Mytilus edulis: one gene and its partner. The protein of the gene in region 1 binds, or shares a complex with, the protein of each later gene. Links are inferred from orthologs where the notes say so. Each region holds a gene or a part of one and is shown on either strand. Other genes may lie near its edges.

The links.
Region 2: the proteins of rab5 GDP/GTP exchange factor-like (region 1) and ras-related protein Rab-21-like are in contact, whole or in part, in a crystal structure (PDB 2OT3), measured with the Homo sapiens proteins. The link is inferred for Mytilus edulis from reciprocal best matches to the Homo sapiens genes RABGEF1 and RAB21. Residues at the interface, in NP_001273991.1 of Homo sapiens: Leu253, Cys254, Lys296, Phe299, Asn300, Lys303, Pro309, Ala310, Ser311, Ala312, Asp313, Phe315, Leu316, Pro317, Ile320, Leu347, Met348, Thr349, Gly350, Glu351, Gly353, Tyr354, Tyr355, Thr357, Asn358, Cys360, Cys361, Ala364, Phe365, Ser373; in NP_055814.1 of Homo sapiens: Ser19, Phe20, Lys21, Gly26, Glu27, Gly28, Lys32, Thr33, Leu37, Thr50, Thr51, Leu52, Gln53, Ala54, Ser55, Phe56, Ala71, Trp73, Asp74, Thr75, Ala76, Gly77, Gln78, Arg80, Phe81, Leu84, Ile87, Tyr88, Asp91.

Annotation. Positions count from the first base shown.
Region 1 is NC_092349.1:73,077,657-73,089,224, forward strand, and holds the start of rab5 GDP/GTP exchange factor-like, read left to right. Parts: upstream 1-5,940; 5' UTR 5,941-6,072; intron 6,073-7,310; 5' UTR 7,311-7,327; coding exon 7,328-7,509; intron 7,510-11,568. Other genes in the region: uncharacterized protein, read right to left, coding at 1,161-1,266, 2,037-2,137. UniProt on the Homo sapiens protein: Rab effector protein acting as linker between gamma-adaptin, RAB4A or RAB5A. Involved in endocytic membrane fusion and membrane trafficking of recycling endosomes. Stimulates nucleotide exchange on RAB5A. Can act as a ubiquitin ligase.
Region 2 is NC_092353.1:62,762,844-62,775,151, reverse strand, and holds the start of ras-related protein Rab-21-like, read left to right. Parts: upstream 1-7,066; 5' UTR 7,067-7,266; coding exon 7,267-7,404; intron 7,405-12,308. Other genes in the region: TBC1 domain family member 15-like, read right to left, coding at 1-138, 1,038-1,139, 6,374-6,481. UniProt on the Homo sapiens protein: The small GTPases Rab are key regulators of intracellular membrane trafficking, from the formation of transport vesicles to their fusion with membranes.

The DNA of each region.
Region 1 (11,568 bases):
GAGTATGTGTTCTATAGTACAATAGTTATGCAACACAAATCAGACAAATGTTCACTACTACAAGGATCAAAGGTGAGGTCTGACTGACCTGCCCATAGTAAATGTAAATGATTTGTTATATTGTCCCAAACATGAATATATAAGGTTTAGGGGTGGGGATCTCGAGGGTTTTCAAGTTCTCAAACAGGAAGGGGTAGGGTGACCCCAGAGACTTCCCCTATATTTCATTTGATTTGTTATATTGTTCCATACATGAATATATATGGTTTAGGGGTGGGGATCTCGAGGGTTTTCAAGTTCTCAAACAGGAAGGGATAGGATGACAATTGTTTTTGTCAGTCAGATACGATTTTACTCGTATTAACACATTTTTTGTCGGCGATTTTCTGTATATAGCTAGCGATTGAACAAAATTGACATCGCTGTCATGAATAATAATGATTAAAACAAGTTTTGAGATCGTTTATTTGGAGACTTTGGCGAAAAGGTTTGCAAAGCTATTTTTTATTTTCTTTCAAGTGGAACTGAGACTACTATAACTGTGATATAGTTGTCTCAGAGTGGAAAGCCCGTCGGGCGTGGCTAGTAACCAAGTCGAAAGTGGAAGGTCGCGTACCTCGGACCACCGCTAATTTGAACCCCTGCCTCCAAATTGAAAAGATACGAATTTTGTCTTCGTATTCTAATTTAAAATTGCCGCCAACAGCATGAACAGTTGAACTTATTATATAATAGACTACTGACGTAGTTGTACTACGTATTGACGACAAACAATATTCCTACGACGTTTGCCATTTGGGAAATCTAAACTACTTGTCTTAAAAGATTTTCGGCGATTAAATATTTCGTACAATTGTTTTTTGACATCTTAGCCAAAAGCACAGGCGATAATAAACTACATAAGAATTCCTAATGAGCACTACTTCCTATGTGCAACTTCAAAAGTTTTGGGTGATTCGACGATCATTTAAGGTTTTTCTAGTCATATTTTTTGTAATCCAGAATTAAAAGTATTAAAAAAGTGTTCAATTAGTTATATATAACATAGTAGCCAGCTAGATAATAACAATGGCAAGTATTTCAGCATTTATTGGGTAGACCACAAATCTAGGGTGCTCGCATAATGCAGATTAACTGCATAAAAAAATCATAATAATTACCTTATGTATATCATAAAATGAACCTGTGTCATCTGAAGACTTGATCTGTTTAATAGCAGTAACCAATGCAGCTAGTACCTCCGTCGGGGGTTTGTCGGACTGCCATCTTCATTTAAGAAAACAAATGCTTCATCAAAATTTTATCAAGTCTGAATCAAACATGTGAACCCGATATGTAACGTTCAGGGTCGGACCCAGGATTTTTTAAAGGGGTCGGAATTGTGGCGAAAAGAAGTATCGCCGAGTGGAGGGGATATTTTTTTGGGACAATTTTATGCTTAAAAGTAATATATTTCCCAATCAAATGTGTGGCCTCTACCTGTTGTTATTCTTAAAAGTGATATATTTTACCAAAAAAAATCAGGGTTTACCACACTGTTAATTACTTAATCATTTGCTAAGAAGAAACACATTAATGATGAATGTGCATAGAGTCCATTGTCTTATGATCAAACTTCCACTTCTTACCCATTTCGCTATAATACTTGCATTTTATGTTTAGATAAAGCATAGCAGATCTTAAGGGAAACGGTTCATATGGGGGAGGGGGGGTAGGGGGATGAAAAAAAACCAATACTATGTAATATAACATCCTTTCTACTCTTCTGGATATCCTCTAATCATGATGCACCTACATGTTTACAACACAAATCCGCCATAGATTAGGAAATTACAAAACTTGCCTTAGATTAGGGTTAAAAAATCTGCCATAGATTTGGAATGGCATGACGTCATATTTACCATAGATTAGGAATCTGCCATAGATTTGGAACCCACCATAGATTTGTGTCCTACATATATACTAAAGTGATTATTCACTGCAAGGTATGATTTGAACGTTTAGGCAAAAAGTCTTTACAATATTGCTTAACTCACGTCACAAAATGGCTGTGTATATTTTTTATGCCTGGAATCCACATCGCAGGTCGAAGTAAAGCCTGCAGAGGCGCCTGCAACATACTGGGTAGAGTCACCATTTGTACTAAGTTTGTGTATGTGTTAAGGTTTACATCTCGAACACAAGTCGACAGTTTGATTTATTTCAGACTACTGTAAAAGAAAAGATCTTCACTGATATCGATATAAATTGTACATACATTAAAACAACATATTTCATTTATAAGTGGAATATAACGATATTATATCCAGAGAGGTGTAGTGTATATATATCTTCTGATCATAAAGGGAGAAGTGTAGTGTATATAAATGATAATGTCAATGAAACAAAATAACCAAAACAGAAAATCGAAAATAAAAAAGGAAAAAAAACCTATAATATTCAAACAGATATTTGAATCCATATCACAAATGGTTAAAGTCTAAGAGAAGCGAATGATTTTAAAAAATACTACCATAGATATGTTATCGTCAACATAGAAATCCGCAGACGATTGATTGATTGTGTGGTTGATTAACTTCCAGTGGCAAATATTTCATGTATGTTCAAGACAAGAGCCGCTGACAATGCTTCTTACTTGTGCATGTCAGCTCAGGTGCATTTACATGTCAAAGGTTAAACTATAGTTTTATGAAAATTGAAGCTACGACCACAGGAATAAGAGAACACACCAAGGAAGAAACATTACAATAAGAGAACAATATGTGATCATATGTGCATAACGATGATATAATTGTAAATGCGTTTTACAATTAGCAAAAATGAGACTTGACGGGTATTTCTTAAAACTTATTTGCTTTGTAAACAACATTACCGTTGAAAACTTGGTATAAAATACCATTTTCGATTTGATTCTTGCAAATCATTAGTGGTATCATACGTAGATGAGATTTTAGAAAAATATATATATAGTCACAAACATGCAGATTTCTTGAATTTGTTGAAAGACTGCCAACAAAAGAGACTTGTTCTGTGTTTTGAAACTGCTATTGTAGAAACATCACAAAAAGGCTATCTCTGTTTTTCGATGATTTTGAAAAATGTCGAAATTAGGAATACGATGAATCCCCCTACTTCCCTTTTCAATTTTTCTGAATCCGCGATTGCTTTCATGCTGCTTTCGTTTTAGTTAAGACTGAAAGAATAAGATTGTCATGTTTCTTATTTTGGATAGTTCACATAATATTTAGGGGAATTTTGTTGTTTATTTATTTTTCTCTAGTGGACGAATAATCCAAGATTTTAAACTAAAGCACTTTTTTTCTATGTTAACATTTATTGACTAAAGTTTTTATTAACGTCATTTATCTTCGAAATTTGTTAACCAGATCATACGTTCATATGTTGGTAGGTTTTTTTTTAATTTGGTTAAACCCACTACTTTCATGCAGTCGGAATAGTCTGTGCACGTGAAAATTATAACAGTAACTTTTAATTTTAAGGTTGCACAATGTCCTACCAAATAATTTAAAAATAAATTAGAAATGGTCAAGATATCATATATTGACATTTCAATATCCTATCTTGCAAATCAATATAGCTATAAAACTGGGATGAACTTTCTTCTTTTTGGATTGGCTTGAGAAAAAAAACCAACCCTGACAACTATTACGATAGTTCTTTCCCTTCAACATGTATTTCTTTCTCCCATTTAGTCCTGAATTGGTAGTCCGATACTGACAGTGTTGGTTTTTGTTTTATTTTTAATCAGAGCAATGTAAATTCTAAAGCTAACACACATCAGATTGGATTAAGCTTAACCCCCAGGAACGTGACCTTTGGACTGGAAAATGCGTGAGAAAAACATTATTGAAGGCCGTAGGGTGACATATAGTTCGATTCAATTCAAAGAATTTATTGTTTAAGCATTCAAACAAAGGGACTTGAAAAAAGGCTCAGCCTGTATAAATCCTTTCCCATACAAGATGGACAGAATAATAATTGACTATTACATATACGTCAATCGTGTTGATTCATACATCATTTAGTCTCACACAGTGAGTCAGGGGAGGGAATTTACAAGAAATTTTATGTATGCATTCATAGTGTGTTAAATTACGTTTTTTGATTGAGTTAAGCCTTCCAATTGATATTTTATCGTGTGTTTTTCTATTTTGTGATGTTATACATGTTATACTATTGTTTCAGAAAAAGGGAGAGGTTTGGTACCATTAAAACGTATAATCCCGCTGCAAATGTTTGCACCTGTCCTTAGTCAGAAATCTGATGTACAGTAGTTGTCGTTTGTTTATGTAATTTATACGTGTTTCTCGTTTCTCGTTTTTTTTTTAATATCAATTAGACATTTGGCTGTCCCGTTTGAATGGTTTTTCACGTCTAGTAATTTTGGGGCCCTTTATAGCTTATAGCCAAGGCTCCGTGTTGAAGGCCGTACATTGACCTATAATGGTTTACTTTTATAAATTTTTATTTGGATGGAGAGTTGTCTCATTGACACTCATGCCACATCTTCCTATATCTATGTTTTAATAATAAAAGGTAGCACTCTATTAAAGAGGAATGCATAGTGTTTTTATGATATTATCAGACTCACTGTGTCAAAATATTAATATATTTAAGTACAGCTATTTGATGTATCACCTACATTCAAGACATTTACCTTGATATATATTGTAGATATAATTTATATATATTTTATGACCTATAGTTGTCAATTTCTGTGTCATTTGGTCTCTAGTGACGAGTTGTCTCATTGGCAATCATACCACAACTACTAATTTTGATATTTAAATATTATTATAAAATATTTATACACAAATACATGTACTTTTGAAAGATTCTATCCTGGGTCAATTTAAAATTCTGACGTTATAATGGAGGAGAAATAAAATAAGGTTCCTACTTGAATGTCTCTAAATTGGTTCTTACTTGAAAACAGTTAATATTTTTTTCGTTTATGATCTCGTTTTGCAACCTATCCTTGACTTCGTAGACCCATTATATTGATTGTTGATTGCTTAACCTACAGTGGCAAATATCACATGCATGTTCAGGACGATAGACCCATTAGATATGAGGTTATTATCTACAAGTCCATCTGTTACCATATGGTACCTGATATTGTGCTAATGTATGTCTACTTGCATAAAAATAGATTGATACAACACTAACTTTACAATCATTTGTGATAACGAAAAAAAAGAGATAGAATGGCATAAATCTAAAATAAACAATACACATTATCTATCCAAATAGTGAAGCAAGCTTCGATCTCTATTAATAATTTAACATTTAGGTCGACACCTAAATAGGGGGAGGGTTTCCTAGTTCAGCATGTTCAGAGTTACATAACTTATGGAAAAAATGTTATGCAAGAGCGATGTAATTCGTACCTAAACAAGATGTGTGACAGATGAAATAAACCAATCATTGTTAAATTATGAAGATTAGACTGAAATAAACACACATGATATTAAAAATAATACATAAACAATGAGAAATGTCAGAAATACAAACCTATACTATAGCCACCTTGGCAACTTGAGGAGGCTCGACGGTACTGACATAAAACTGAACTCTGATTATGCATAAGCAATATTCCAAATGTAATCATTGTCAGATCTGTGCCAAACTTTGATTCATCGTCATATACATATTTTGTTTATAAACGAATTGAATGAGCATTACTTACGTTTTTGTTTTCCTCAACTTTCAGTTTCACTTTGAATCTGCCACGCCCCCTTTGTTGAGAGAAGATAAATACAGGTTACTGAATTACTAAAGTAAATAATCAATACAACAATTGAATTTTATCTGAAACTAGAAAGGTGTCGTGTTTATCATATGCAAATTGTTTTTATGTATTTTCTCCTTAATTTTGTTTCAACGATAAGTTTTAATGGGACATAATATATATTGTTATTTTAGTTTGCGCGTAACAGTTAGCTCCCCTCCCGACCTTCACCTCATGAGACGTTCGATACAAAAAGAATGATCTTGTGACAATAATTGAGTTATGTGTCATTTATAGATATTTTAAAGCTTGATCAACAGGTAAAGCATAAGTAAATCTTTTAAATGATAATATTATCAGGTAACTCAACATTACATTAACTCAAAATTGATGGTTTTCTTCCACAAAAAGCTCTTTATATTCTCTCCGTCTAGCTGGGAATGAAAAAAACCCAAACAAACAACATTTCCATAGTACTTTGCATTGCACTGTGCAGACTTCATGTATAAATATTATAGCTACGTGCATCAGACATTAAGTATAATAGTAATTCATATCAGACAGTTCTATGCACTTTTGCCCATTTTATGATTTGTTTCTAGACTTTCTATTTCAAGCAAGCTTTGACTACCATCCATATGCATAATTATCTAACAACTAGCATGGATGTTTATCTACATCAAGGACATATAACTAACATAACTCTAATATGTGTCCTTGTCTACACCAAGGATTTTCAAAGTAATGCCTAGTTCATGCATTGACAGATTTGACACTGGATTACCAACGGATCCGATACAATCTGGCATCTTTTGTCTGTTCATGGCAATCTGTTATGGTCGTATATTTCCTTAGCATAGTCGTAGTCATGTGTACTAGTGCTTGTGTATCTGTAACAATTTTAGCATGCACCAAATTTGACAGAGGATCTAACAACCTAATTATATCCTTACTAACCCGTATTAGAATGTACTGATTCCTTTTATTCCTTATTTAAAACAACTGTATTGATCCGTTCTTATTAGTAGGCCTGATTTCTACATTTTTTTTCAGAGAACTAACATGTATGTGCAAGTATGGTTAGGGATACAATATGGTTTGTTACAAATTTGTCATGAAATGGGAAGCTCTCGCTACATTGCATTATGTACCAATAGCTAGGGATCAGCCAGGGTTCAACTTCAGTATAAATATTCTCTACTTTAACTTATAGGGCCAAAGTAGTCTCTCTTTTCGCTAGAGGTATACATAGCATGAACTATCAACTGACATGACTGATGCTTGCAATTAATTGGTTGGAATAGGATATTAATATGACACTAAATGACAGAACAGTGGTCGAGCTACAAAATACTTGATTACAGACAAAGAGGCAACTTAAGGCAGAGATTAAACTTGCAACAGGATAGTTTTCACATTTAACAAATGTTTAAAATAATTAGTTTCACATTTTGTCACTTGTGCAACAATCACAGTCACTTACATGACTTAATAAACATGATGAATGCACAGAATAATTTCAGAATAAATTTACAGTATCTCCTTGATTTTATTTCAGTATAGTTACAGCACAGAATGAGTGCTACTGTTGCAAAGAAAGGTTTCCATCTAAATAAAGATGACCTGTTGTGTGACAACGGTTGTGGTTTCTATGGGAACCCAAACTGGCAGGGATTTTGTTCTAAATGTTACAAAGAGGTGTACCTGAAAGCAAAGCAGGCTCAGCAGGACCATGATGAACAACAGCAATCCAAGAGGTATTTAAACACTTTTATGGTATAAAATATTTGGTATTTATGTCTTGTTGGTCCTCTCACATGTCTTATCAATCATGACAATATTTAGACTTAGAGGGCTTGTTAATTTGGTTTAAAACCATAACATTTTCTAGTACAATGTACATGTATCTGTCCAAAATTATGGGGCCTCATTGTTGGTTGTTCTCTGTCACATCTTGATATTTATAGCTTTCAGAGATTTTGGTTTTGATGGCAGATCTTTGGTTGTTTCTGTTGAATTGATTTACATCATTTATAGACTTACTATTACATTTATGTACATGTATTATTAGAGCTTTCTTACAAATTGACGAAAGGTACAAACGAACGTAAAGGGAGCACGTATTTCATTCCTACAATAACAGTTAAAAGAGTCCTTGTTTTATCCAGTAAAACAGCATTCTTTTCTAAATCATGTTTATTTAAAAATTAAAAACAATATCGCAAATAATACACGATTTTAATTTAATTAAACAGAGAAATAGTGTCAAATACACTTATGTCCGATACGTTACATGTACTTACGTAAACCACGAGTACACACATTTCCGCGGGAATTTTTTAAGCACGAGTTGCACGATTAACATTTCAATGACATTATTGAAGTACGTTAGTCTAAATTTAACAACAAGATTCACATTTATTTGTATTTGTTACAGTACACTTTCAGCAAATTGTCAAAGTGGAATATCGAGATTTGCTAAAAAATGATACACATGTTTGGAAGATAGACGCGAAGTTGTCACTTATCGTCCAGTGGCTAATATTTCATGAATGTTCAGGACTATAGGTAAAACGCAGTTATACGCTAAAATAACCGTCCATTGCTCCGGTGTATCATATATACACATTTAGGGGGGCAATGAATATTACCAGAGGAGAGGCGATGATTCAAACGTTATGAAACGAGCAACAGTATATGGCATATAGTATGAAGATCATCTTTTTTTCTTCATTTTCATTTTATTATTTTGAGCGTTGCAAATTTTGAATCAAGGAAGTATTTGTGTTGTTGTTGGGGAAAATACAATGTATTTTCTTTGACATTTTCTTAGGTTAAACTGTGCAACATTGTAATATTGAAGAGTTGGAGAGGGGCCAGTTTTTGGAAAATGACGCAGTCATTGTTCCATTACTGCCGACCTGAACTTCATTACATTTCTCTGCCTACCGCGCTTGGTTTCGTATTTACTATTTTCCATACAAACTGGAATCTGCTTGTGTTATCATTATGCATGATCATTGTGTAGTTATCAGCCAGGAACCAGTTTACACTCGGTTTCATATTTACTATACAATCTAACTGGTTTCTGCTTGTATTCCACTACACTCGAACAAAGTGTTGTAGTTTGACGGGAACCAGTTTAGAATTTGTAAACTACAAAATGTAATCGGTTATTGTTCATTCCGTTTTGGTGTTTCATACCGACTTATATGGTTTGAATAAGCTTAAGACCCTTCAAACATTAATGTGATAGGTATATTAAAGACTGTTTTACAAAAGGATGGAACTGTTTTACTTTCAAAGTCGTACTATAGTGATATCTGTCATGTACGGATTTCCACTCTCACCGGTTAATTTCTTCTTTTACACGTGCTTTTGAAACTTCCTGTTTAAACATCGCAAGTTTCAAAATTGTTATTTGAGTGAATTAAGGTTTATGTACCCTTCTGTAGCCATTTTTGTACGAATTTTTCAAACCTCAATTGTATCAAAACTAAAGATATAATAAATAATAGAGATAGGCCATTTAGTACATGTTCCAAGGGGAAACTTGATGCAAAACATTATTTTTTACTGTTTCATTGCATTTGATAGAAAAAGAGGACTTTGTGGCAAATAAATCAAGATTTTTATAGAAAATCCACAGCCTTTAATACAGAATTTTTTGTTATAAAATTTGAAACATAAATTACTCACTTGATTTTCTATGATGTGCTAGTGTTTATTTTTTACAAAAAGTTCTAAGTAACCTGTAAATTCCAAAACACCTCGTGCTGAGTCACTAAAGTCGAGCGCACCCTAAAAGGTGTACTTGATTTTGGCCATATTTATACTTGTCTTAACCAATAACTACATTTATAAACTTGTTTTAAGGAAATCAATGCTAGCACTGCATGCAATAATCCTATATCTATCAGTCATCAAATTGCCAAATATGAGAGTACAAGGATAAAGGCTGTGGATTTTCTATAAAAATCTTGATTTATTAGCCACAAAGTCCTCTTTTTCTATTAAATGCAATGGAACAGTAAAAAATAATGCTTTGCATCAAGTTTCCCCTTGGAATATGTACAAAATGGCCTATCTCTATTATTCATTATATCTGTAGTTTTGATATAATTGAAGTTTGAAAAGTTCGTACAAAAATGGCTACAGAAGGGTACATAAACCTTAAACTTATTTTTACAATCATGAAGCGTTCCAGAATCATTTTCAAGCAGTTTCTTCTTCTCTTTGATGATGGAAAATAGGTTTTCTCAAGAAAATACCGCAAACGATCGCAGAGGAATTGAAACGTACAAGTCAAGTCGGCACCTGGTTAAATTGGCATCTAGTCAAATCGGCACCTATTTGACGTCAATTCAGCATCCAATAATATTTGTTATAATATTTTCTATTCAATTAATTAATAACTGTTACCAATTACATAGTGAATATGTTGTTGTGCATTTAGGTAAACAATTAAGGAAACCAAAGTGAATATGTTGTTGTGTATAAAGGTAAACAACGAAGCCCTTACCCAACTGTTGTTCTAACAATAGACAATTATCAAAATAAAATGGAAAACTATGAGTCCCTTTCAATAAATCAAACTTTCATGCCAAATAATTAGCAAATTTAAGGTGTTTTTTTTTCAGTAAAGTTTAAACAGCATTAAACCAAAAATCCCGTAAAATGCTCAACTGGTTAAAATAATGCATAAAAATATCCAGTATCTCATGTATTAGTCCAAATAATTATGACGTCTGGCAAGGATATTTTATTTTTTTTCTGGGACGCCTTCCTACGACGTTCGTAGGAAGGCGTCCCAGAAAATAATTAACATAGCCTTGCGGTCATAGGAAGGTGTCCCAGAATAAAATTAAAAAAGCCTTGCCAGACGTAATAATTATTTGGACTACTCATATATCTATAATACTAAAATTATGAGGTCCAATTTGTCAGCCGTCATCACGTAAAAACGACGAATCAAAGAATTCAACTTTATATATATAACTAATATAGTACTAAGGTGTAGATTAAAAATTACACCACTCCAGGCCCTTTTGTTTTCCACGTAATTAATATTGCCAATAATTAAGAAGTTCCGGGTCGAGTCCGACACCGATACCAATAGTATATTCACCTGTTACCTATTACCTTATCAGTACGTTCCGCATCTGACAGGCGCACCAACAAACGGTGTATTCAGGATTAGTATGCTATATACACGGGTCATAATCACAGGGTTGACACTACTAAATTGTCGAATTGTTACATATTGTAGTATTTTAATCAGTAAGACTTTCTAAGATAACATTACGAATACTAAAAATCTGGACTAAAAATAAGGCGTATAGGTACAGTTTTTAATTTGTTAGCGGGCATGACGTAAAACAGCGAATCAAAGAATTCAACTTTATATATAACTAATATAGGATAATGCTGTTGATTAAAAAATACGGGCCATTCCAGGACCTTTTGTTTTCCAAATAATTAATATTACCAATAATTGATAAGTTCCAGTTCGACGGGTTCAAACAGAAAGATTTGAAAGCAGAGAAAACTGTGTATCTTATAATCGGCATGACTTTATCAGATGACAATACTAATACTAAAATTATGCTTGCGCATGGTTATATACTTTAATTCAGTCACGGACCCGAGATATCACGGGTGTGTTCTAGTATTACATTAAAAATACACCAAAAAAGTCATTTAGTTGAGAAAAAAAAATATATATACAAAATGTACATGAACACCCAAAAATGTGAAAGTTAGTATTTAACTCTTTTTGCTTAAATACTGAAAAAATTCTGGCAACCCCTTTCTTA
Region 2 (12,308 bases), on another chromosome or scaffold:
AGGAACATCTGATCCTGACCCGGTATCTGGTTTATAGCCGACAGATAAAGAGGAACCTATAACAGCCCATTCTTGTTCATTCTGACCATCTACCTGTAGTATCTCTTCTGCTTTCCATTCTATAAATGTCCCTTCAGGCTGAAATTTAGAACCATCATGTTAGAAAACACAAATTCCTTATCACACAAGACAACAATTCAAAATCATATTTTTGTGAATCTTTTTCAACCAAAATTTTTCAATTACTTTCAATATGTAGTTAGTATATATTACTTTCAACATATATATTATATGTTAGTATATATTATGATTTGGTTTTTGTATATATTTCAAACAGTTAGACAAAGAATGATGAATTTATGATGAACACCATAAAAAAAGGGTGATGTCAGGTGCACAAAATAAATCTGTAGTTAGTTTCATTAGATAATGTCACAATAAAGGAAATGAGGAGGAGATAAAATACAGATAAAATACTATCATAATTTCTTTTGAACTTATCAACTGTTTTAAAATGACTACTGTCTTTTCGTTTCATAATTATATTACATGTATGTTTCATTTCGATACATTATTTGATTGGCCAACAGCAATCTCTTGTCATTCTGAATTTGACCTTCATTTCAGAATAAAATGCAACATTCATTTTGACACCAGCTTCCACAAAAAAGTGCATAAGTAATTCAAAGAAAAACTTGATGGAAATCTTGTTTTCATGATCCTAGCAAAACAATGTAATCAGAAGTATTGAATGCTTTTTTGGTAATCTTTAAGGGTTGAAAAGGTGTTGACATTTTTTTGTACATTAGTTATTTTTCTCCTTTTAATTGATTTACAATTGCCATTTCAGGATGTTTTATAGTTGACTATGCAGTATGTGGTTTGTTAATTGTTGAACGCTGAATTGTGACCTAGTTGTTAATTTCTGTGTAATTTGGTTTCTTGTGAAGAGTTGTTTCATTGGCAATAGTACCACATATTCTTTTTTATATATAATATTCTTTATTAAACCAGCTTCATTGGTACAACAGTTTTACCTTTTGTATTATAAACACCTTTCCTGGAATGTGTGCATCTTTGTCTGAATGATGTGAATTCACATTAACATGGATGAAAACACTATCTTTTTCAAACAACACCTACAATAAAAAAAAATATACAAATTTAAAGCTTCTACCACAAATTATATACATGTATATGTTTATTTATATGTAGTTCTGTACACTCACATCAAATCTAATCATATTGATGTGACATGAAAAAATATGTAAAATCTTAAATATACAACATTTTGTACAAAGTACAGTTTGATAACATGTTAAAACAAAAATATCTTTTGCAGTAAATAAAGAAGACAGGGTTGACCATGTCAATTATACACAAAGATTGTTTAAAAAGATTTCTAACTAATCTAATATAACAACAATTTTAATAGACAACTTTCATGACTATCATATTCATCTTGCCCTTTGTTTAAATTTCCCATAAAATTCCAACGTCACAAATCTTTAATGTTTTTAAGGCAAAGTAAGAACTGATTGTTCATTTACTTTTACTACTCATTCATTAAAAAACAAACTTGAAATTGGTGTGTTACAAAATTTTAAATCAAAATGAATAAAACTGAAGCAGAAGCAGCAAATTTAAAAAAGTAAGAAATCATCACAATCATGACAATAAATGAGTTCAGAAGATCTGAGTGATAAACTGATATTGTAGGACAAGAATAATTCAGAGTTTTCCTAATTTAGTTTTACAGTCTGAGTAGGCCCTGGAAAGAGTTTCTGAAGAATTCAACTGGAGTTGTTTAACATTGCAGTTCATGGAAGTGATAACAAATATAAAAATTTTCAAATTCTAACCTTCTTGGTTATCAAAAACAGAAATGCCTAGATGTTTAGTTTTCTTATTGTGATCATCATAAAAAAAACTTAGAGACATATTGCTTGTGATGATTTTAAGGTGCAGAGTTCTCTGCTTTCAACATATTTTTTGTTTGAACCCGTCTTCATTTTCTTACTACTTGAAGACCATTGTCCTATATAGTCATAATAATAATAATATAATAATAAATTCTTTATTTAAAGAGGGTAACTCAATTAGAAATAGTCTAATTTTCATTGAGGCCCTCAAACAAAATACATGCATACAGTTAACATTCATACATTCATACATTAATTTACAATATATATTACTAGTATATACACAATTCAATCATTGAAATATACAAAGGGTAATAAATGACAATATTTGATATAGTTTTGTTAAAGGAAAACAAATTAGTTGACTTGCATATAATTTTCAAGAAAATGATTATAACTATGTTTCTTGAATAATTCCACATTAGGACATTTTTTTTATTTCGAGTGGTAAATTATTCCATACTTTGGTTGCAGAATAATGAAAAGATTTTTTATAAAAATTTGTATTTGGTCTTGGAACAAAAAGATCATTATTAGAGACAGATCGTAAGTTGTGGCGTTGCACATCATCAATATTTAGTATTGCTAAGTAATCAGGTGTTAGCCCATTTACAATTTTATACATTAGAATTGATTGTTGGTATTTTATTCTTTTGGTAAAAGATAGCCATTTTAAAGAAGAAAACATGAAATTAGATGGAATAGAAATATCGCATTCCAGTATAATTCTTGCTACTCTTTTTTGAAGTTTTATGATTCTATCTGAATCTTTTTGTAATAAATTTCCCCAAACTGAACTACAATAGTCCTTATATGGTAGAATATATGCATTATAAAATAGTTGCCTTGTGTGTATTGGCAAATATACTTTAATTTTATATAAAAGTGATACTTTAGATGAGATAATTTTACATATACGATCAACATGATCTTCCCAGCTTAAATTTTCATCAATGTCTATTCCAAGTAATTTGAAAGAACACATGAAGAATGGACATTCTCAATACATGTTTCGTTGACGGTAATACATAATTCTGATAGTTGTTTAAGTTTTTGTTTTGAACCCAATTTCATACACTTAGTTTTTTGTGCATTGATTTTCATACTGTTATTGTTACACCAAATCATTTTGCAATATGCTGTTTATTTTTTCAATGTCATGACTCATATATAAAGAAAAATTCTTTATTTGTTGATTTGAAGTCATGCCCTCTAACAAATTTGACCTCTTCATTTACCTGTACATGTACATGTAGGTACAACAATGTAGTATCTATAGATACTTGATATCTTTTAAGGCCAAATAAAAATACATGTATATGTGTGGTTCCAGTAACCCTACCGTCCCTACTTTTTCGGCTTAAAAATAGCCTACCCTAAAGATTTTATTGTCATTTTTCATTAACCCTTTCGCCGATGAGTCCCGGTTTACCGGGATCGGAATACCTCTTTTATGTTTCCCGCTCAAAACAGTGCAAACATGAGTTATCTTTCTTTGATGAATACCTGGATGAAAGTGTAAACATGGCGCTTTCGTTTGTTGAAAACCGTGTCAAAATCAGACGAAATTTACGGAATTTACGAGAATTTGAAATGAGGGAACATTTTTTATGAAAGAATATGGAAGAATTGAAGACAAACTAGTATACTTTTTTGACATAAAATGTCGTTTTATGTACAAAACACTTGGAATGGACATCGTTCAGTGTGAGGAATTTGTACAGCCTCATAAAATTTTTCAAAATTTTGCCCTTTTGGGTGTAAAAATTACGATTTGGGGTTTAAGAGCAGAATTTTGAGAATTTCACCAAAGATAAAGCTGAAAATTTGAAAATTTGAATATTTTATGAAGAAAAAATTATCAAAACATGAACAGAACTGTGAACATGGTGTTAGTGAATGAAATAAATACACAAATAACTACAAACAAGTTTTTATTGACATATATTATGAAGATCTCCCACTTGAGTAATAGTAGCCTGGGAAGCCATCGTCTCAGAGTAGCTTAATTCTGTCTGGGCAGCAATCAGTGAAAGAGTTTAGCACTGTTAAAGTCAGAATGTTGCTCCCTTAGCTTTCGGGTCGATCCGGCCCCACGTCGATCCAGCCCAAGTCGATCCGTCCCACGTCGATCCGGCCCATATGTAAAGTCGATCCGGCCCCAATAAAAAAAATTATTTCAAGGAATAAAAAATAAATATATATTATTGCGAACCCTATCTTAGTTTTCCATAGATTCACCTGCAAGTTACCTGTCCATTTAAACTTTTGGCAGTTCTATTGTCCCATCTAACAAATACAACAGGTATTGTTATCTGTGTAGTTTATTCACTGGGACCTTTAAATTTCTTCCAAGAGAAATATATCACTCATTGATTAATTTACCTGAACAAAAAATTGAACTGTTAATGATGAAAAAATACTTATACCAATACTAAGTAAGGACTCTCAAAACTGCATGTGGTATTGTATTTATTCGATACCTGGAGTAACTCGTTTTTAATGTGTTCAATATTACATTTATAATACTGATTCAAAAATTAAAAGTTGATTTCTGATCAAATATTCAATATTTTTGTGTGTTTGATAAATAAAAATTTGAATATTATTATTTTTAAATTAAGGTCTTCATAAACATAAGTCTATAAAATGAACAACAACAAAAACATGTAAATTCATTGGAAAATACTAAAAAATGTGTCTGAAATAAACTTTTTAGTATTAAACCAGATTTTATATTGAACAGATTGAAAATATATTAATGATAATATTGAATAAATACAATATTGCATACAGTTTATGTGAGTTATTAGAAGTATTTCAATAAAAAAGAAGATAATTTTTTGGTCAGGTAAATTAATCAATGAGTGATATATTTCTCCTAGAAGAAATTTAAAGGTCCCAGTGAATAAACTACACAGAGAACAATACCTGTTGTATTTGTTAGATGGGACAATAGAACTGCCAAAAGTTTAAATCGACAGGTAACTTGCAGGTGAATCTATGGAAAACTAAGATAGGGTTCGCAATAATTGTAATTCATAAATGTTTATTATTTTTATTATAATATTTATTATAATAAAGTAAAAAAGGCCTTTGAAAAATATTTTCTTTAGATGAGTATAAAACAACTAGGTTGATTATGTCTTTATTACAAGTTTTCAAGATTATTGGGTATAATTATATTAAAACGTATATATAAGAATTCAGACATCAACATTAATCAGCAGTAATTAGCATTTTCTTTCAATTGACTGTGATCCTAACAAGTCTTTCATCTTGTGTAACATGTATAATAACAAATAGTTACATACATGAACGGTACAAGCCGATCCCCAAGCTGATACATATAAACTTTGTTTTTCTTTTTAAGTTCTTAAAATTTCTAAAATTGAGAAATGTTGTTTGATTTGCCGGATCCTTTCTATAAAAGAGTGCTGATATTATATTTTAGAGAGTGAAAACGTGCATTCAATGTCATTGTTTTGTTATTTTCTTGCAATAAAGAATAATGGATACTCATATGACTTTTTGTTTATCTACACTATTCAAAATATTGTCGAAATAAGAAAAATATATTGACTATATCAGATGTTACAAAAAAAAAGTGTTATAGAATAGAATATTTTTATATGTTATAGAAGCCTATGATGTAACCTAAAAAAAAAATACAAATAATTATTATAATATACACCAACCAGAAGATCAAACTATAAAGACCTCGTTGAAAAACAGATTACGTAACGTTAATTAATCAGCATTGGATTGAATTAAGTGATTACAAGTGGCATTACCTTAGTTCACAATCATCAGACAACTGTTGAATAAACAAACCAATTATAGACTAATGATTTTATTAAATAAGTCATTATTATGCGTTAAATTTTATAGGTCCATTGGACTGTAAATATTTATTTAGCTACATGTATTCTGTGTGTCAACTGAATAAAATAAAAATCGCCATGAAATTCAAAGTGAAAGTTATGGAAAATTACTTCATAATTTTAAAATGTAGAAACTGCGATACAAACAGACACAATAACACTAATTTTCGTATGGATTTAAAATAGTTCGTTAACTGGTACTCCAATACTTCACTGACCTGTTGTCATCCATCATCGATCGGACACTTTTTTCAAATTCAATTTATACTGTTAAAGTTTGTGACAAATTCCTCCAAAATCTAGTTAATTCATATTTTTTTATGGGTCGGATCGACTTTGGGACGGATCGACGTGGGCCGGATCGACTTTGGGCCGGATTGACTTGGGGCCGGATCGGTTTGGGGCCGGAACGACCGGATACCCTCCCTTAGACTCAATGTAAAAAAAAACCATAAAATAAAAAAAAATACCTACCTACCTACCCTAACTTTATTTTCAGATGTAACTGGAACCACACATACTTTCTTATTTGGCCTAAGTGAAATATGAAAACAATAAGCAACTCACATCTGGCTTTCTCTGTTTATTTCTCATCATTCTATGATGCTTGTATTTATGATTGTACTTGTTATATCTAGATCGAAGACCAAGTTTCACTTTAATTATTGGGTGCATTTTAAAGATGGTGCCTTTAAAGATTTATTTTTGAAGACTACAGCTTTGCTTTACAAGTTAAGTCATTCAATTTCCTACTCTTATAATCATGTGTTATTTACCATGACTTACTCATTCTTATTCCAGAAGAATTCTTAAAATAACCGTTTACGGATGTACATGTGACATATGACCAGATAATTTTGAAATACCATTCATGACTGATGACACTGAACTGCTGAATAGTGAATATTGTTTTGTATCTTGTCATAACACTATACCCTACACTGCTGATCATCAAGTGCTAAAGGAGGGTTATTCTATACGCTAGAACACATTATGTAATTATTTTACCTGTGATTGTGTTGCCATTTCTATATTTATCTAAACAGTCGATTTCTGACAGAATGTTTTGATTTTGTACATGACGTCAAATCACCTGTTGCCGCTTAAATCAATGATTATGACAAGGTTTATTTCGATTATGATTAAAATGTGAGAATAATATAGCATTGTTCTTTTCGCTATTAATTTGAATAAAAGTAATTTTGCTTTTCATTGATAATCTTGAAAGTTATCAAAGTGCGAAAAATGGATATGTTTACATTTGTCCATGATGTAAGGGTCTTAGCGGAACTTCCTCGTGACCTCCCACCATGACGTAAAATATAGAAACGCCATGTTGCTGTATTAAACAACGTCGGAAAGAAGTGAAAACACTGAAGACAATTTTATGTTACACCTTTTAACCTCTTTATGACATATACATACATAAACTGAAAACAAACTGTTAATAGGAACACACTATGGCTGGCGTTAACGCCGGAGGTGGACGTAATTCATTCAAAGTTGTTCTTCTTGGAGAAGGATGTGTTGGAAAAACGTCTCTCGTTTTACGTTACGTCGAAAACAAATTTAACGATAAACATTTAACCACACTTCAGGTACATAAAATTTGAAGCATGTATAATTTATTTGTTGTATGGTCACTTCGAATTCATGCATTGCAATTTGATTTCCAGTAGTAATTTTCTATCAATATCATTAATAAATTATATACCAATCATTAGAAAGGCAAAGATCATGACACTTGGCCAAAACACTTGTCTCCCTGCATACCTATTCTTTTCAGATCTGTTCACCAAAATTATTCTGTGTTGTGTTTTATACATGTTATAACAGTGACAGTTTGGAACTCACTACCAGCAACTAAAGCTGAGGCTCCCTCCTTGGTATCTTTCAAGAGGGAGCTTTCAACACTTTTTATCTAATCTGTGCAGTTCCCCATTTGCCAAGTAAGTCAAATGATGGACTGGAGCTGTGCCAGCTGGGATTATTTTTCCCTGGTACATGTACCTCTAGGGAAGCCGGATTGGTTGAGGCCAGATGAACGAATAGCAAATGGGACCCCCCCCCCCGTTTTCATACATTGCTTTACTATTATTATTTTTCTTTTTCTGTCATACTTTATACTCGCTTGTATATTCTTTGGTTATCTTACAAAATTGCTCTTTTTTTTGCGCCCATTGGAAGCTGTTTTGAGTATTGGTCAAGTTTGACAGATCAACGTAAAATGTCATGACATGTCAAAAAGCGTGTGAAAACGCGTGACGTAGATGCGGACTTGTTAATATGAATGTGGTGATGTTCATAATTTCATACAAATTGTGAATATAAAAAAACAATATATATTCTACTGTGAACTTTTATTGTATTAAAAAGTGGTCTGTTATGTTGCTTTTAAAGCACCACCACTAGGCACATATTGAAAACAACTGCCATTTCAAGTTTAGTTACATTTATTTGATAACAGCACACAATACAAATGTAACATAGTCAAGTTCTGATCAGAATTCAGTGTCAATTTCTTTATAATTGAAAAGGCTCTCCAACAGTAGGAATTGAAATTTGACTGAATTAGCTTTATCAAGATTTGAAAGAATGTCATGTTTTTTTTTATTGGCAATGTAAAATGTCATCTATTATCTCTGCCATTGCTATTGCCTGATTAAAACTGGGTAGTTCATCAGAAGAAAGCTGGTACTATGAGAGCTGATTCAACAGTTCTGTGATATTTTTATCCCCATATGCATGGCCTGTAGAAATCTGTTGCCGTGTTTGCTAGATTTGAAACTGAAATTGAAAAAGAAAAATGTTTTATAAATTTGATTTCCATTAGATAAACATGTTAAATGCTTATTCAAATAGCTACATTGTATTTCTCCTCTCGAGCTTATGCCATCACTTGGCGTCCGTCGTCGTCCGTCGTCTGTCGTCGTAAACTATTTCAAGAATCTTCTCCTCTGAAACTACTAGGCCAAATACTTCCAAACTTTAACTGAATGTTCCTTAGGGTATCTAGTTTATAAATTGTATCCAAAGTTTTGATCTATCAACAAACATGGTCGCCATTGCTAAAAATAAAACATAGAGGTCAAATGCAGTTTTTGGCTTATAACTCAAAAACCAAAGCATTTAGAGAAAATCTGAAATGGGATAAAATTGATTATCAGGTCAAGATCTATCTGCCCTGAAATTTTCAGATGAATCGGACAACCCGTTGTTGGGTAGCTGCCCCTGAATTGGAAATTTTAAGGAAATTTTGCTGTTTTTGGTTATTATCATGAATATTATTATAGGTAGAGATAAACTGTAAACAGCAAAAATGTTCAGCAAAGTAAGACCTAAAAATAAGTCAATATGACTGAAATGGTCAGTTGACCTCTTTAGGAGTTATTGCCCTTTATAGTCAATTTTTAACCATTTTTCGTAAATCTTGGTTATCTTTTACAAAAATCTTCTCCTCGGAAACTACTGGGCCAAATTGAACTAAACTTGGCCACAACCATCACTGGGGTATTTAGTTTGAAAATTGTGTCCGGTGACCTGGCCAACCAACCAAAATGGCCGCCATGGCTAAAAATAGAACATAGGGGTAAAATGCAGTTTTTGGCTTATAACTCAAAAACCTGAGCATTTAGAGCAAATCTGACTTGGGTAAAATTGTTTATCAGGTTCAGATCTATCTGCCCTGAAATTTTCAGATGAATTGGACAACCCATTGTTGGGTTGCTGCCCCTGAATTGGTAATTTTAAGGAAATTTTGCTGTTTTGGTTATTATCTTGAATATTATTATAGATAGAGATAAACTGTAAACAGCAATAATGTTCAGCAAAGTTAGATTAACAAATAAGTCAACATGACCAAAATGGTCAGTTGACCCCTTTAGGAGTTATTGCCCTTTATAGCCTTTTTTATCATTTTTCGTAAATCTTAGTAATCTTTTACAAAAATCTTCTCCTCTGAAACTACTGGGCCAAATTAATCCAAACTTGGCCATGTGTCCGGTGACCCTGCCATCCAAATAAGATGGCTGCCACGGCTAAAAGTAGAACATAGGGGTAAAATGTCAAAAACCAAAGCATTAAGATCAAATCTGACTGTGGTTGAATTGTTTATCAGGTCAAAATCTATCTGCCCTGAAATATTCAGATGGATCGGACGACACGTTGCTAGGTTGCTGCCCCTGAATTGGTAATTTTAAGGAAATTTGCAGTTTTTAGCTCACCTTTCCTAAAAGGAAATGTGAGCTTTTCTCATCACTTGGCGTCCGTCGTCGTCGTCTGTCGTCGTTAACAATTTTTCAAACATCTTCAACTCTGAAACTACTGAATTGATTTGTATGAAACTTAGCATGATTGTTCCTTAGATTATCCTGCACAAAGATTGTGCTTCGATTTTTGATCCGTCAAAAAACAATGCCGCCGTTACTTAAAATAGAACATAGGGGTCAAATGCAGTTTTTGGCTTATATCTCAAAAACTAAAGCATTTAAAGCAAATCTGAAATGGGGTAAAAATGTTCATTAGGTCAAGATCTATCAGCCCAGAAATTTGAGATGAATCCAACAACCCATTGTTGGGTTGCTGCCACTTAATTGGTAATTTTAAGGAAATTTTGCAGTTTTTGGTCATTATCTTGAATATTATTATAGATAAAGATAAACTGTAAACAGCAAAAATGATCAGCAAAGAAGGATCTACAAAGAAGTTAATATGACCAAAATTGTCAACTGACCCCTTAAGGGGTTATTGTCCTTTAATGACAATTTTTCACAATTTGTTCATCATATTTGCTAACTTTAAAAAATCTTCTCCTCTAAAACTACTCAACCAAATTCAACCAAACTTCATTTGAATGATCAGTAGGGTGTATAAAATAAAGTTTGTGTTTTATTTTCTATTTCGTCAAAAAACATGGCCGAAGGCATTGTTTACCAGGTGAGCGATTCAGGCTCTTGAGAGCCTCTTGTTTATCATTGCAACGTATAATGCACAAATTATGCGTTGCTTGTCACTCGATCATATAAACTCGAACTCCAAAATATAATTTATAAATCTTGAATCTTCCCGTACACAGCGTTTTGGCTTAACAATCGGCACTTTAGACGACGGTACAGGCCCTGAAAGTGACCTCTTTTTGTGCACATTTCCCCTATCAAGTGAATTTGAAAGAAAGTCACAAAATCGTTAAAACTAATCACAAACTTCTTACCTTTTACTGTTTGTCCATATAGAAAAATAAACAATAAGGCAGCCAAACAATTACTTCAAATTTTTCAGTATTTATCGCCGAATAAGGAAAAAACCCGAGAATAGCAATATCACTAACGACCAAAAAATGAAAAGAACGAAAAAGCGTGTAATTGCAAGTAAAGTGGTGGAAAGCGTGTACACGCCATGTGACAAAATCCTCGCGTGTAACTGTTGAAAAAGCGTGTATGACACACGAATATCATGTCACTAAAAAAAGGACGTGAGACAATATGGCCCAGGCAGAGACAACATAGACGACTCAGAATGTCTACTAGAAGGATTCTTTATGAACACAATTCGAACCTACTGTTAAATTCAATTCAAATCATCAATAAGTAAAATTGGACCATCTATGAAATTAAATGCCAACCACATTTGTAAGATCAAGTATGAAATAAGAGTTTTGACGAAACAAATGATTTAATCTGTCTGAAGAGAATTCTCTATTAAAGTTTCAATGTCTGGATTGATTATTGAAATGACGAAAAAAGACAGCTCAGTGTCTACAATGGACAACTTTGGAGTTCGATGCATATCCATCAAAAACTTTGGTTTAAATGAACATCATTCATGCATTAAGGGTCATTGCCACTTCGGTCCCCGTGTTGAGCAAGTGGTTGGAAAACTATAATGCTACATTGAATATTGCACTGTTCATTTGGCAAATTGCATTCTCATAAAATTTTGACAATCAGCACTGCTCTTATTAGGGAATTGTGATTATGTACATACAAAAAAACATTATTTTTGATGTTATCCTGCACAATGACAATCACTAAGACCATGAAGACGTTTGATGAACGTTAATAGTGCAGTGATACAGGCGATCCCCTCTAAATGGTATATAATTATGATGTCATAAAGGTGGGGCTTTGTAATGTTTTATTAAATTTTTTTTTTTAGAATAATTCAATTAACATTATATCGTCTTAACTGACTGTCAATTTAATTTGATAATTATCATGATTATTACAGAATAACAATTTTAAGTAACAAATTGATTAGGCCAAATAAAAAAGTATCTGTGGTTCAAGTTATATCTGAAAAAAAGTTAGGGTAGGTAGGTAGGGATTTTTATACGACCGCAAAAATTTTAATTTTTCGTCGTATAATGCTATCGCGTTGGCGGCGTCATCGTCGTCCAAATACTTTTAGTTTTCGCACTCAAACTTTATTAAAAGTGAATAGAAATCTATGAAATTTTAACACAAGGTTTATGACCACAAAAGGAAGGTTGGGATTGGTTTTGGGA